Rattus norvegicus: one gene and its partner. The protein of the gene in region 2 interacts with the protein of the main gene of each other region in a biochemical or structural test. Links are inferred from orthologs where the notes say so. Each region holds a gene or a part of one and is shown on either strand. Other genes may lie near its edges.

What was found.
Region 1: of the proteins of Wnk1 (region 2) and Klhl3, one has a biochemical effect on the other in vitro, tested with the Homo sapiens proteins (2 studies listed by BioGRID). The link is inferred for Rattus norvegicus from reciprocal best matches to the Homo sapiens genes WNK1 and KLHL3.

The regions. Positions count from the first base shown.
Region 1 is NC_086035.1:6,631,317-6,637,694, reverse strand, and holds part of Klhl3 (kelch-like protein 3), read right to left. Parts: intron 5,771-6,378; coding exon 5,669-5,770; intron 3,127-5,668; coding exon 2,998-3,126; intron 1-2,997. UniProt on the Homo sapiens protein: Substrate-specific adapter of a BCR (BTB-CUL3-RBX1) E3 ubiquitin ligase complex that acts as a regulator of ion transport in the distal nephron.
Region 2 is NC_086022.1:154,833,648-154,840,025, forward strand, and holds part of Wnk1 (serine/threonine-protein kinase WNK1), read right to left. Parts: intron 4,543-6,378; coding exon 3,304-4,542; intron 1,588-3,303; coding exon 1,507-1,587; intron 1-1,506. UniProt on the Homo sapiens protein: Serine/threonine-protein kinase component of the WNK1-SPAK/OSR1 kinase cascade, which acts as a key regulator of blood pressure and regulatory volume increase by promoting ion influx.

The DNA of each region.
Region 1 (6,378 bases), on a different chromosome or scaffold from region 2:
ACCAGAATCCAAGAGGCCGCATACACAACTCTGGATAGCTATGGCCAGCAGGGTGACTTGGGGAGCAAGTTCTGTCTCCCTGGGCCCCAATGCCCTAATCTGTAAAACCAATGTAGGGGTACCCCGCCTGGCTCCCCATAAGACAGGCAGCCTGCAAGCAATGAGGTGAAAAACCAAGGTAACCCCGTTTCTGCTTTTAAAATGTAAATATATATGTGTGTATATTTCCCTCAGAATCTTATTATTCAGGTTTGTATCTGTTGAGACAAGGCCAGGTGCTGTGGTCATTGATGGGGAGACACCCTGCCCGCCAGCCTGTTCCTTCAGCCCCTCTTCTCCTTGATGGCAGCCAGCATCAGACCTGACCTGGGGGAGGAGCCCAGCAGTTCTTTGCTGCAATGAGATACAGGTCATTCAGGAAGAGAGAGGGCCAGTGAGGACCGCTTGCCTGGCAGCTGGGACACCTGGACCTGCTTTTCCAACATCCCCCTCTGGGTGGCTCTTTCCCTCCCACATTCATGGAGAAAGAGAATTGGAATGTGCCTGTGATTCCACGGACTGTTGCCTTCTGTGGACCGGCTGTATCCTTTCTGCTGGGTACTTTCTGGGGAAATAAAACCTTAGTCCCAGAGACACCGGTCAGAAGCCCAAAGGGGTGTCTCGGTGAATTCCATGTGCAGCCAGGCCGTGGGTCTGGTGGCTGGATCTGGAGACTACAGGCTTCATGAGGTCAGGAACTGCTTATGTCATGCCCTGGTCTGTTTCCCTGAGGCCGCTGGTGATAGGCTCCTGCAGATACTGTCTAAATGACAGGGTGTAATGCATCATCCCTGCCAGAAGTCATAGCAGGTGGCCTGTGGTTCCTAGCAGTTGCCCTAAACTAGCAGCAGATGGTGCTGTTGTGCCAACAATGCCTGATGTCAGGTTGTGAGATTCAGAAAATTCAGTAGGCCCCAGTTGCTTCACCTCTTCCCCTCCTCCAGGGTGAGCAGGAACAGACACTTCCCGGACCCTGAGATGGTCTCTTTCCACCACCATGTCTATCCCTCTGCTTCCGCTGTCTACTAATGAGGGAGCAAGAGCCACCTGGACATTCCCCCAGCAACCCTCGCACAACCCTTGGCAGCCTGCTCATAGATTCCCGTGTAGAGCCACATGGGGCCTCAGGGAGCTGGAACTCAGAGCCTTCCTGTCACTAGGTCTTTGGCTGTCACCAGCAGCCACTGAGACAAGTACATGGGCTCCCAGTGCTAGCATTGACACATCCCTAACTCTTTATCAGAGCAAAGCATTAAAGAAAGGGAGCCGGGGACAGTGTTCTGTCCGAGGAGGGTTCCACAGTAATCTGAGCAAAGAGCTCTTCGTGGCCAAGGTCTGGGCCTCCTGGAAACAGAAACCACAGTAATGGCACTGTCTGGGGGCTCCAGCCAAGGTTGGGACAGGTGACGTCCACCCCAACCACCCTCTGAGCATCCAGTAGGGAAGGGGCGTTACTGCCACAGGCCTTTAGCACTTGGCCCAAGTCACACATGGATTCTAAGAAAGTAAATAGAAGTTGTTAGAAGCTATAATCACTAAACCATGAGGATGGGGATGGAGGGGGTCACAGGATTTATGAATGGAGCTGGCCCTTTGCGAACACGGACAGCCTGCGCTTTGGTATTAAATGTCAGTGGTGGGGAATGGGGTTGGCCAAGTTGACAGGGCGAGGTCAAGCACACTCAGATCTAAATCCTTAGGTCTCTTGACTTCAAGGCATTCACGAGGGGCCAAGTTGTCAGGATTAGCAGAGAGGGCTCCCCCGAAAAACCCCTAAAACACATGCTTCAGAAATGGAACCCGTGCAGACATTCAACTTCATGGCCCACCAACGTATACGCCAATATATATACTTCTTTTTTTAAAGAAATTAAAACAACCTAGTTTTCACAAAATGCTAGACAAGGATGTATATGTATGATCGATCACAGTCCAGTCTCCAAAACCAGACGGGACGGGGGATGGGCATGAGGAGGGCAGGCAGCTTCTGTTTTCAGTAGTCATGAGGCCCCAAACCAAGAATCACATCAGTCACCAGGAGCCCCAGAAACTGGCCAAGGCCCCGGCTTGCTCTCGCAGACCGTGGCTCCCGAGAAGACGGATGAGAAAGGATGGAGTTGCTGCAACAGCCCCTAAGTGCCTGGACTTCCCTCACGTGACAGAGATAGAAAACTATTTGGGAGGCCATTACTTCTCCGTGATAGAGAAAAACGTGGGCATGGGGGACCAAGGCTTATCTCCAGCCATATGCCAGCCTTTACCCAAGACACCGGCTTCAAGCTGGCCAGGGAGGCTTCTTAGCTAAACCAAGGCAATAGCACCTGTCCTCCTCAGGGTGGGACAAGGCTCACTATCAGAGGGCTAAAATCAATCACCTCAGAAAGAGATTTCTAACTCTCCAAGTCTCCAATTCTATAACCTCAGGCAAAGTGATCCATCTCGGGCAGGACTTACTTTCAAACTCTGGTCAGAGGAATCAAGTGTTTGGTGAACTGAGGTGAGGTGAGGAGTGAGTGGGAGGGTGGAGGCATCGGCCAGGCACACCTGTGATCCCAGAGGCTGAAGCAGGAGGTCACGAGTCCCAGGGCAGCCTGGGAATATTTGTATCATGACATCACCTGGCACCTAGTAGGTCTGTACTTCCCAGAGATGTAGGCCTGAGCGCAAACGAATGCTCTGGTATAGCCTGGGCTATTGGTGACCTCGAGGCTAGCCTGGGCCATGGGGAAATTGTAAAGACGGGGCAGTAAAGGTGACAATGCCTTTCGAGCAGAGTAAGAAGTCCCTGGGAAAGGCTGATCCTTGTGTGAGCGCCACTGGATGTGTGGCAGTGGTCGGGTTACTTACAACCAGAGGAGAGACAGGATGAGGGAAACAAGATACAGCTCAGGGGGTTGTCTCTAGCCTCAGCCTGTATCCCCTCCCCGTGCTCTCCCGCACCCCGAGGCTCTCACGTACCAGCGCCACTGCGTCGGGTGCTCATGTCTGCCACGTATATCCACTCGTTGGTGGCTGGGTTGTACTGCTCCACGGTGCTCAGGCACTGCCTGGAAGCCCCATCGTAACCTCCAACGGCATACAGCTTCCCTGAAATAGACAGAATGACTGAGGGTGGCATCAGTGGCACTGACAAGATTTATTTATTCTATATGAGTACACTGTAGCTGTCTTCAGACACACCAGAAGAGGGCATCAGATCTGATTACAGATGGTTGTAAGCCACCATGTGGTTGCTGGGAATTGAACTCAGGACCTCTGGAAGAACAGTCAGTGCTCTTAACCACTGAGCCATCTCTCAGCCCTGATGCTCCAACTTAAATCCACTGAGGTACCTCTGTCTCCTCCTTCCGGGAGGACCTGGCTTGCTCGCCACACACAGGGCACATCTCCCCCCACATATCTGCCTTCTCTCTGCTCTGAAGCCCCAAGATGCTTAGAAGCAATGCTGAAGTTTCCTAAAAGAGGGCCCAAGCCCTGGGTGAAGCGTTCTGTGTGTGCCCAGGGCTGAGGCAGCTGGGATTTTTCTGCGAGCCAATTACTTTGTCCTCTGAGCCACATACGAGAACCCTGAAGTATCATCAACGTTCCTAAATAAAAATAATGCTGAGCTCCTGTGGGGGAAGAGTCATGTCCATCTGAGGCTGGGAGCTGAGAGCAAGGGACAAGGATTCAAACACATGGGGTTTAACATATAGTATTAGACAAGGTAGGAGAGTTCCTTCTGTGGGGACAGGGAAAGAAGTCCTACTTCACCTATGGACCTCAGATCTACAGGGTACTATGACACCAGCCACAGACCAAATGGACACTAGCTGCAGGCTAAATAAACCCAGGGTTAGAATTACCTAATCGAGAATTTAGGGGGCATTATATGAGTCCCTAACATAGTGGATGTGAAAATCCACAATTACACTGTTAGCTTCTCAGGTCCAAAACGGCGCTGTACCATCAAGTAATTCTATATTGCTGAGCTGCATTTTTCTCCAAGTCTTTTTTTCAGGTGACCTTTCTGGAAAAGAACTCCTGCACAGCTCCTCCCTCACAAGGTCAAATCACACAAACAAATTCACCTAGGCCGCTCTCCCCTCGCGTGCCAGCTCAGGTGGTTCCCATTTTTAGGAGAGTTCTGCGACTCTCCCTCTGCTCTGTTGAGCATTTCTGTCCACGCTCCAACCCACATCATAGCTTGCCCTTACGAGGGATTCTTCTAGGTGGCAATGAGCAAATTATCCCCTAGTGGTTCAGGGTCATTCAGACTGCATGACCTTGGCAAGGAGAGGGCGTGCCGGGAGAAGGAACTGTGCAGAAAAAATCTGAGTCCTCGGCAGTTACAAAGCACAGTCCACTCCAGTGCCTCCTACACGTTCTTAGAAACATTTTCTGCTCTCTTGAGGCAGCACACACAGCCCACAGGGTGTCAGGTGCTTTCCTCCCGGCTTCCCTCTACGTCTGCGGGGCAAGCCATTTGCCTGCACTTCCGCGACTGACACTGACACAGCCCCTGTCGTGGGCAGTGTTTTCAATTTCTACCATCAAGACACCTTCGCTAACCATTCCCGTCAACCATTCCAACCTGGTATCGGCTAAGCAGCCACTCAAGGTCTCTCCCTGAGTGTATGCGCAAGCGTCTGCTGTTTTTAACCCTGGGTCTGTTTGCCGTTCCTGCCTGAGGAACAAGAAGGGAAATGAGAAGCTAGCTAGACAAAGCTCTCGGATCTGGCTGGCAAATCAATGTCTGCCTCGTCAAGAGGATACAATTTGTCCGGATAGAGGGACGGAATCCTGGCCTCTGCATGGGTACTGAGCCCACAGCTCCTACCTATCAGCAATTGAGACCCGTCTCCGGATCCAGATTAGGAGTCAGAAGACCTTCAGGACTGCTCTGCTATTTACTATCATGATACAAGGACTCCATCCTCTGAGTTCTTCCGGAGGGTTTGAAAGAATAAGAGAAAGATGTTTTAAGAACGTCTGGCTAAGCCTCCGATCTGGCCACACCCTCCTGCCTAAGCCACACCCTCCTGTCTAGGCCACACCCTCCTGCCTCGGCCACACCATCCTGCCTAAGCCACACCCTCCTGTCTAGGCCACACCCTCCTGCCCCGGCCACACCCTCCTGCTTAGGCCACACCCTCCTGCTTAGACCACACCCGACACCTAGCCTATCCCGAGACATGTCAGACCTGAAAAAGAAGCAGCCCGTCTTTCTCATGACCCCGCTAGCATGCAACACATGAAGGTGAGCAGAGTGTTAGCCAAGCATAATTATCACCCCTCCCTGCTACACTGTGCCCCAGTTTGTGTGTGTCGACTCTGGGCTCCCTACTTATTTCCCATTCCCCACAGTTAGCAGAGATACTTACAGAGGTGCCCAAGGGACAAGTTCTCACTTCCCCCCAAGTCTCCTCTTTCTCCCCCAACCTGCTAACCCCTTCTTAGCATTGGCCCAGGAGCATTCCCACCAAGTCTCGGCCCTCCTTGTCTGTTTACTAGAGACAAGGAACTTAACTCCGGCCAGTGACCTGAGGAGTGGAGTCACAGTAGAGGGAGCATCAAGCAAAATGCTGTACTCAGGACAAGACCCACGGGCTAGGGCAGGAGCAGCCACCACCCTCTGCGACCTCCTTACCCTCCACGACACCCACTCCCACGCTGCTCCGCCTCGTGTTCATTGGGGCCACGAAGAACCACTCATTGGTCTTGTAGCTGTAGGCTTCTACGGATGCCAGCCCTGGGGAGAAGAGAATCATGGGATTTCTATAGCCGCAGACCTCACCCTGACGTGTAAGGGACGGTGAGACTGGGAAGAGACCAAGACAGGGCTACAGACTTGATATCCAGCGTGGTACACCTCTGCCTAGCATGTGGCCACAGTAACTCCTCAATCTACGTAAGGTGAACACTGACCACCAAGACATGGCATGCAGGGAAGCGGGCAAGATGGGAGGGGTCCATCCCAACTCTGCCGTAGATGTGAACCATTAAACTTTCAGAGTGGAACGTTTGTAAGACCCGAAACAAATACCTGAGGATGCCCCACCGGGCACCGGTCCCGACCTCCCTTCTATGTCTTCTATTTTACAAGCTGGATGACTAAAAATATATCTCCCACGATGCCATGCAGCTAGGTGACCCTGAGCCCTTGGCAGAAGTCTGATGGAGATTTCTAGGATGCCCTCGGCATCTCCGATGCAGGGGTGACCCTTCCTGTTTCTTGCTACCAGGGACACAGATGTCCTGGCTGGAGTCGTAACAACTATAGGGTTATCACGGGGGAAGCCAAGAGAATCTTATGGAATTTGGCCCCAGTATCTGTGCGCAGTCAGACCAAATTGGGGA
Region 2 (6,378 bases):
CCTGCATGTGAGAGACATACAATCTTTCAGGCTTTAAACACTAATATAAATAAAAGTAAACTTCTAAAAGTATATACATTTTAAAAGTTAAATGTAAACACTACCATTTCTATCTATTCTCAAGAGGTGGTCACTATGGATTTTCTCAGTTTTCTATATTTTTACTTTCTGTTGAAACAAAACAAAAACAAGCCTATATTATAAACTGATGTTACTAATTAACATTTTGGTAGGTTTTCTTTTTTTGGGGTGGTGGGGTTGTGGGTGGGGAGGTATTTAAAAAGATTTCGACTAATAGCCCTAACTAGTCTGATTTAGGGTTAACTACTGTTATGATCAAATACCATGACCGAAAGCCGAGTTGGGGAGGAAAGGGTTTAGTTTATACTTCCACATCATAGTTCATATTTGAAGGAAATCAGGACAGGGAATTCAAACAGGGCAGGAACCTGGGTCAGGAGCCAATGCAGAGGCCATGGAAGTGATCTACTTATTGGCTTAGCTTGCCAAGAAGCTCTTATAGAACCCAGCACTACCAGTCCAAGAGTGACACCAGCTCCAATAGGCTGTGCCCTCCTATATAAATTACTAATTAAGAAAATCCCCTACAGGCTTGCCTACAGCCTAACTTTATAGAAGCAATTTTTCAATCGAAGCTCCCTCCTCCCTGATGACTTTAGCTTGTGTTAAGTTGAAGTAAAAGTAGCCAGCACAAAACCTTCGTCTTGATATATCTAATACAATTATTTGGTTGGCACCTGTATAAAGGTAAGTTACTTATTCACACACCATAATGAGTGCCTTGGATTTTTATAAGATACCTGGAAATACTTTTGTCCTAACAGAATGATTTTGTATCATCAAATTACAACTACCAAATTTTAAAAGCACCAAAATACACTCGTCTTATTTAATCATTCCTGATAAGGATTCTTTCACTACGCATGGCCATGCTGGAACCTGCTCTTAGACCATGTGTATACCTTCATCTCAAGAGAGTCACCTGCCTCTGCTTCCCAAATGCTAGAATTAATACTCTTACATGGACAAGTCATAAACATATATAGAAACAAAGATATTCTTTGTATGGTTTACTTTATGCATAAAATCACTTAGGAAGGGAGATATAATTTATAACTATATAACAATTCTCTTTTTTAAAAAAAGATTTATTATAGCACTCTGCCAGCATGTATGCCTCCACACCAGGCAAGGGCATCTGCTTTCATTACAGATGGTTGAGAGCCAGCATGTAGTTGCTGGGAATTGAATTCAGGACCTCTGAAGAGCAGCCAGTGCTGTTAACCTCTGAGCCATCTCTCCAGTCCACAATTATTCTTTTCAACACTTATCTCTTAAATTGCTCATAGGTACATAAAACATGTTATGAAAATTACTCTTTCAAAAACTTAGCAACCCATTTATATCAGAAATCTACTGATATAGATATAAAACAGTGCCTGTGGCTACTGCTAAAACATTAATATAGCAATGTGACATTTTTACCTGCTGAGGATGTTGGACGGGTTGTGAAGATAGAACCCCTGCTAAACTACTTGATGGCTGGCCCTGGTTCTGCCCCTGTGCCTGAAGAACAAAAAGCACATACAAATTAGAAAGTTTATATACAAAGTTTAGATTTTTGTATAAATACTTCAGATCCTGAGAAGATTGCTTGATCAAAATGAAACATCAGCTTAATGCTGTAGTACAAGACCGACCTCGGATTTTTTGGTAAGGTAAGTTCAGAAAAAAGATCATAGAACATTTCTGATCACATCTCAAGTAAACACAAACAGAAAGACAAAACCACAAACACATTGATAGTTCCAGTTTTAGCTGGCTTGAATAGTCAGATTCACAATAAAATTGTCACAGGGAAAATGTGGTAAGATATCAATATGAAAAAATTTATTCTTGACAATTAAAGAAAACCACATTCAAAACTGTTAATTTGGTTCCCTTTTGAGTTTTCTTGTAGTATTGTAGTAACTCTGATGAGAAATGTGAAAGAACTGTTAGAAACCAACTCCTAAACAGGCATATAACGGTTGTCCAGGCAATGTAGAAATATCTTGAGTCATTCTGATTGTTAACTAGGGGAAATGGCTGCTACTTATAAGAGATACTACTAAAAATAAATAAATAAATAAATAAAATTCTATGACGACCAGAGGAATCTCACTCAAAATAAAGGATTAACCAACCCAGAATGTCAACCACGTTGGGTCTGAGAAACTGAACAGTGCATTCCAATTAACAAGAAGTCAAATTAACTAAGAATAGAGTGTAAGAATATATGTTAGGAAAATTAATCCACGTATACTATGTATATAAACACGTTAAGAAAATGAGAAGGCTAGACCTTTACTGTTTCATTCCAATGTAGCAGAAGTTTACATGGATGTATCATACTCCACTAAAACTTTAATTATCTATTTTCTTTAAAAAAAATATTTTTCCTTTGCAAAGCTTAGAGGATAATGTAAGCATACAGCATGTCCACACTGTTTAAATTTCAGGGTCCTTTTGCTTCTTAAACACTACTCTAAATAACTGATAAGAGATAGTCATTGCTGACTGCCTTACTTCTATGTCTTTGTGTAAATGTTCATTAGTATGTATATACGCTCACCTGTGTGATTAAAGTTTTACATGTATTTATTGAGAACAGGGTCTGAAAGATCTACTGTTCCCAACTATGTAATATGTTATCATAAACTCATGAAAACCTAATAAAAACATTATATAATAGGCTCTAATAGTCATTAATATTAGACATAGTCCTTAATTTTAGTTTAATATTTTATTAATATCTTTAGTATAGTGATTTGACGGATACCATCTCAAAATGGCACCTTCATTTATTAAGCTAAACTCCTAAATTATGTTTTCTTAAGTTCTTATGATGAAAAGTTCTGTGTTTCTTAACATGACACCAAAAAAGCCATTTTGCTTTATGGTTTGTTTCTCATTTTTAAAAACTTATTTAGAAGAAGCAATTATATACTAAATCATCTTACTATAAATAATCAAGACTGACAGACAATTGCATTTTTACTACTACCACAAAATTCCACAGATATTAGTCATTGATTCTGACAACTAAAATCACAGGTAAACCAGGTATTTTCCACTTTAAAGTTCATTTTTTTAGTACATATATTTATAACCACAAAAGAAATCCTACTAAGAAAATAACATTTCTTATAAATCCATGATTCAGGGAAATGAGACAGAGAATTTAAATGCATTGGTGCATAATAGGGTATTTTAAAAGAATTGTGAAAGTTTTCCTATAACCTGTGGATGGAGTGCAGATCCTCCTGAAGAATATGAAGCAGATAAGACCTGCTGAGATGTGGTTCCTTGGGGGAAACAGAAGAATAGTGGGGATTCTTGTAACACTGTCTGAGGCAGGCGAATATAGGGCAATGAGACGTCAGAGCCAAAAGGTGCAGCTGTTCCCCCTGTAGGGGGAGGTGATTGAAAATCACTGATATCTGAAGAAGTAATTTGAGAGGAATCACTGGAATATTCTGGGCTTCCTACTGGCCAGTTTTGTCCCATAGGTTCTACCACAGAAATGGTCAATTCTGGGGTATGGTTATTACGCTGTTCTTCAGTAACAGGCTGCAGGTGGCAGTGTAATCCAACTGACTGAGGAGACAGTTCTTCCTGACTTGAGTCCACTGCAACCTGTCGATTTCGGTAAACACGTTGAGGTAAAATCCCACCTCCTTCTCCTGAAGAGGAACTTGGTGTTTGAGCATGAAATTCAAATACACAGTTGCTTCTGTTCTCATTGCTATGAGTTAACACAGCTGGTGCAGAATGAGGTACAAAGACAGGGTGAAATTTCAAATGTGTAGCATCTGTACTGTTAGGCGCAGAAATACTAGACAGGGGTGATGCTGGACTTGGTCCAGAATCTAATCTTAAATTCTGAAGGTGTCCTACTAGGAAAGCCTGTCCAGAAGGAAATTCAAAGACAGAACTTGAGGCAGGGCACCCAGGCACTGGCTTCTGTTCAGTTATCTGTTTCATAGGACTTGACAGTACTGGTGAGTTGTATGAAATACCCTCATACTGTCCTGCCGCATGGGCCTGGTAATGCACCCCAGCTAGATATACTGTTTCCTGAGGAATAAAATAGTGAGCTTCTTCTGCCAGTACTAGTCCAGGTCTATAGTCACTGTAAATCTGGGTTGTCTCAAACACAGGTTGGACCTGCATCTCACATAGCTCTCTATTTACTCTATTGGCTGTAGTACCCAACATAACTATGGCCTCTGGTGTCCAGTTAGTTGGGCTGCCACCAGGTGGAAGATGATTTTGGCCAACAGTCCTCAGCAGGGGTTGGAAGTGGCGAGTTTGAGCTTCCAGGAAGGAGGTACTCTTACGTCGCTGGGAAATGGCTACTTTCGGTGGACAGGTAGGAGGTGGTGAAAAAGAAACTGGACGTTCATGAATAGTTGGGAAAAATATCTGTGATTCTGGGTATGTTGGGGTCCCCCCACACGGATGCGCCACGGACTGAGGCTGTATCAACATGAATAAGACAAGTAATTCATACATTCAATATGTAAAATTACATCAGACATGCACAGCTGGATAGTTCTGTGTAACCCCATGAAGTGGCTACACCAAAATTTTAATAACTAACAATGCTTTTGGAATTTATAGCAAAAATCCATTAAATACATCCAGGGCCAATAAAGTCAATCTGTGGCACTTCCTTGAATGAAAGAAAAAGCTGCTTTCCCACAAACTTGCTCCATCAAAGCAAAGGCATAAATTACAACTTCCCAAGTAATTATTCTATTTTACCTATAATAAATGTGTTCATTCTTAAAATGTTTGTCAATGGAAAGAGCTAAAGTTAGAATATTAAAGGACAATAAATAACCTTATTATTTTTATAATTTAAAATATATTTCAATTTAAGCTACTGTTCCATAGTGCTACAACATTAGTCTATTAGAGGCTTCAGTTATTTTTCATTAACTAACAGTAGAAATTTAACTAGTATAAATCAGAAGAGGTCTTTGGTATTTGGTATAAGATAAGCCGAAAAGAGTGGAACATACTTATAATAATGTTAGCACCCAAGAGGCTAAGACAGGGGAATGTAAGAGTACAAGACCTGAGCACTGTCTTAAAAAAACAAATAAAAAGATAAATGACTTGTTGCTCTTTTCTGTGTTTAAAGCTACAATTAATAGTTTTACTATAAAACAAGCTACAGGTGCTAAATCATTCTTCTGATCATTGCTAAGGGCTGAATACCATGAGTTTCCTAATTCTGACAAATCAGGCAAAAAGGCAAACCTGATTTAATAGCATGTTTTATTTCCAGAATTTAGACTAAGCTTGCCAAATGCAATATACATACTTCTCTACCATGCACTGGACTTCTAAAGTGAGCTTATGTAAGAGCCCAGGCTCAATCCTTAACAACATAAAAACAGAGGACAACCTGAAATGTTGGACATCATCCCCAACTTGTCAGAGACAGGTGTCTGTTGCTTGATTATGTATACAACAGACTGCAAGGCACATAAGATTCTACAGAGTCTATTATCCTCTCCCATCGCAAAATAGGAACACGAGATTATGGACAGTATCTACCACACCAGGCTTCACATGGGTTATGGTAATCTGCATTCAGGTCTCCATGCTTGTGCAGCAAGCACTTTAGTCACGGAGCCATTTCTTCAACCTGCTAAAGTATTTCTCCATAAAATCAAAGTGCTCATATTTTATTGATTATTCAATTTGTGTCCTGAGGCTATAAAACATTGTACAGTTAATCTTTTTCCTAAGTAAAAGTCTTAAGTTTCTGGTGTTATTAGTTCAGAATATTCTGTTTGGAAAAGCAGCAAACAAGGTCTCATAACAATTAATGTAATTTGAGAGGTTGTATGTTTCACAGACATTAATGGACACAAGGAAAATTACATGTTATATATGTATCTAATATACTCGAGTCTATGCCCCACTTTATGTAATCTAAGAGGTGAAAAGAAAGTGCTTCCCAGACAGGAAATAGCCTTTTGATTTCCCGACATTTCACTTCATACAAATGACTGAATTAAAATCAACTTTTACTCCTCGATTGATTGGTTTAAAAAACAAAGGACTTGGGGTTGGGGATTTAGCTCAGTGGTAGAGCGCTTGCCTAGGAAGCGCAAGGTCCTGGGTTTGGGCCTCAGCTCCAAAAAAACCAAAAAACCAAAAACAAAGGACTCAATTAGTTGTATTTCTTAAGAATAAACTGAGGAGAAAACATACTTGGTCAGTGTTTGGTAGACTCTACTTTTGATTAGGCTAATGAGTTGAATTAAGTAATCCACATACTTCTTGCTAAGATATTAA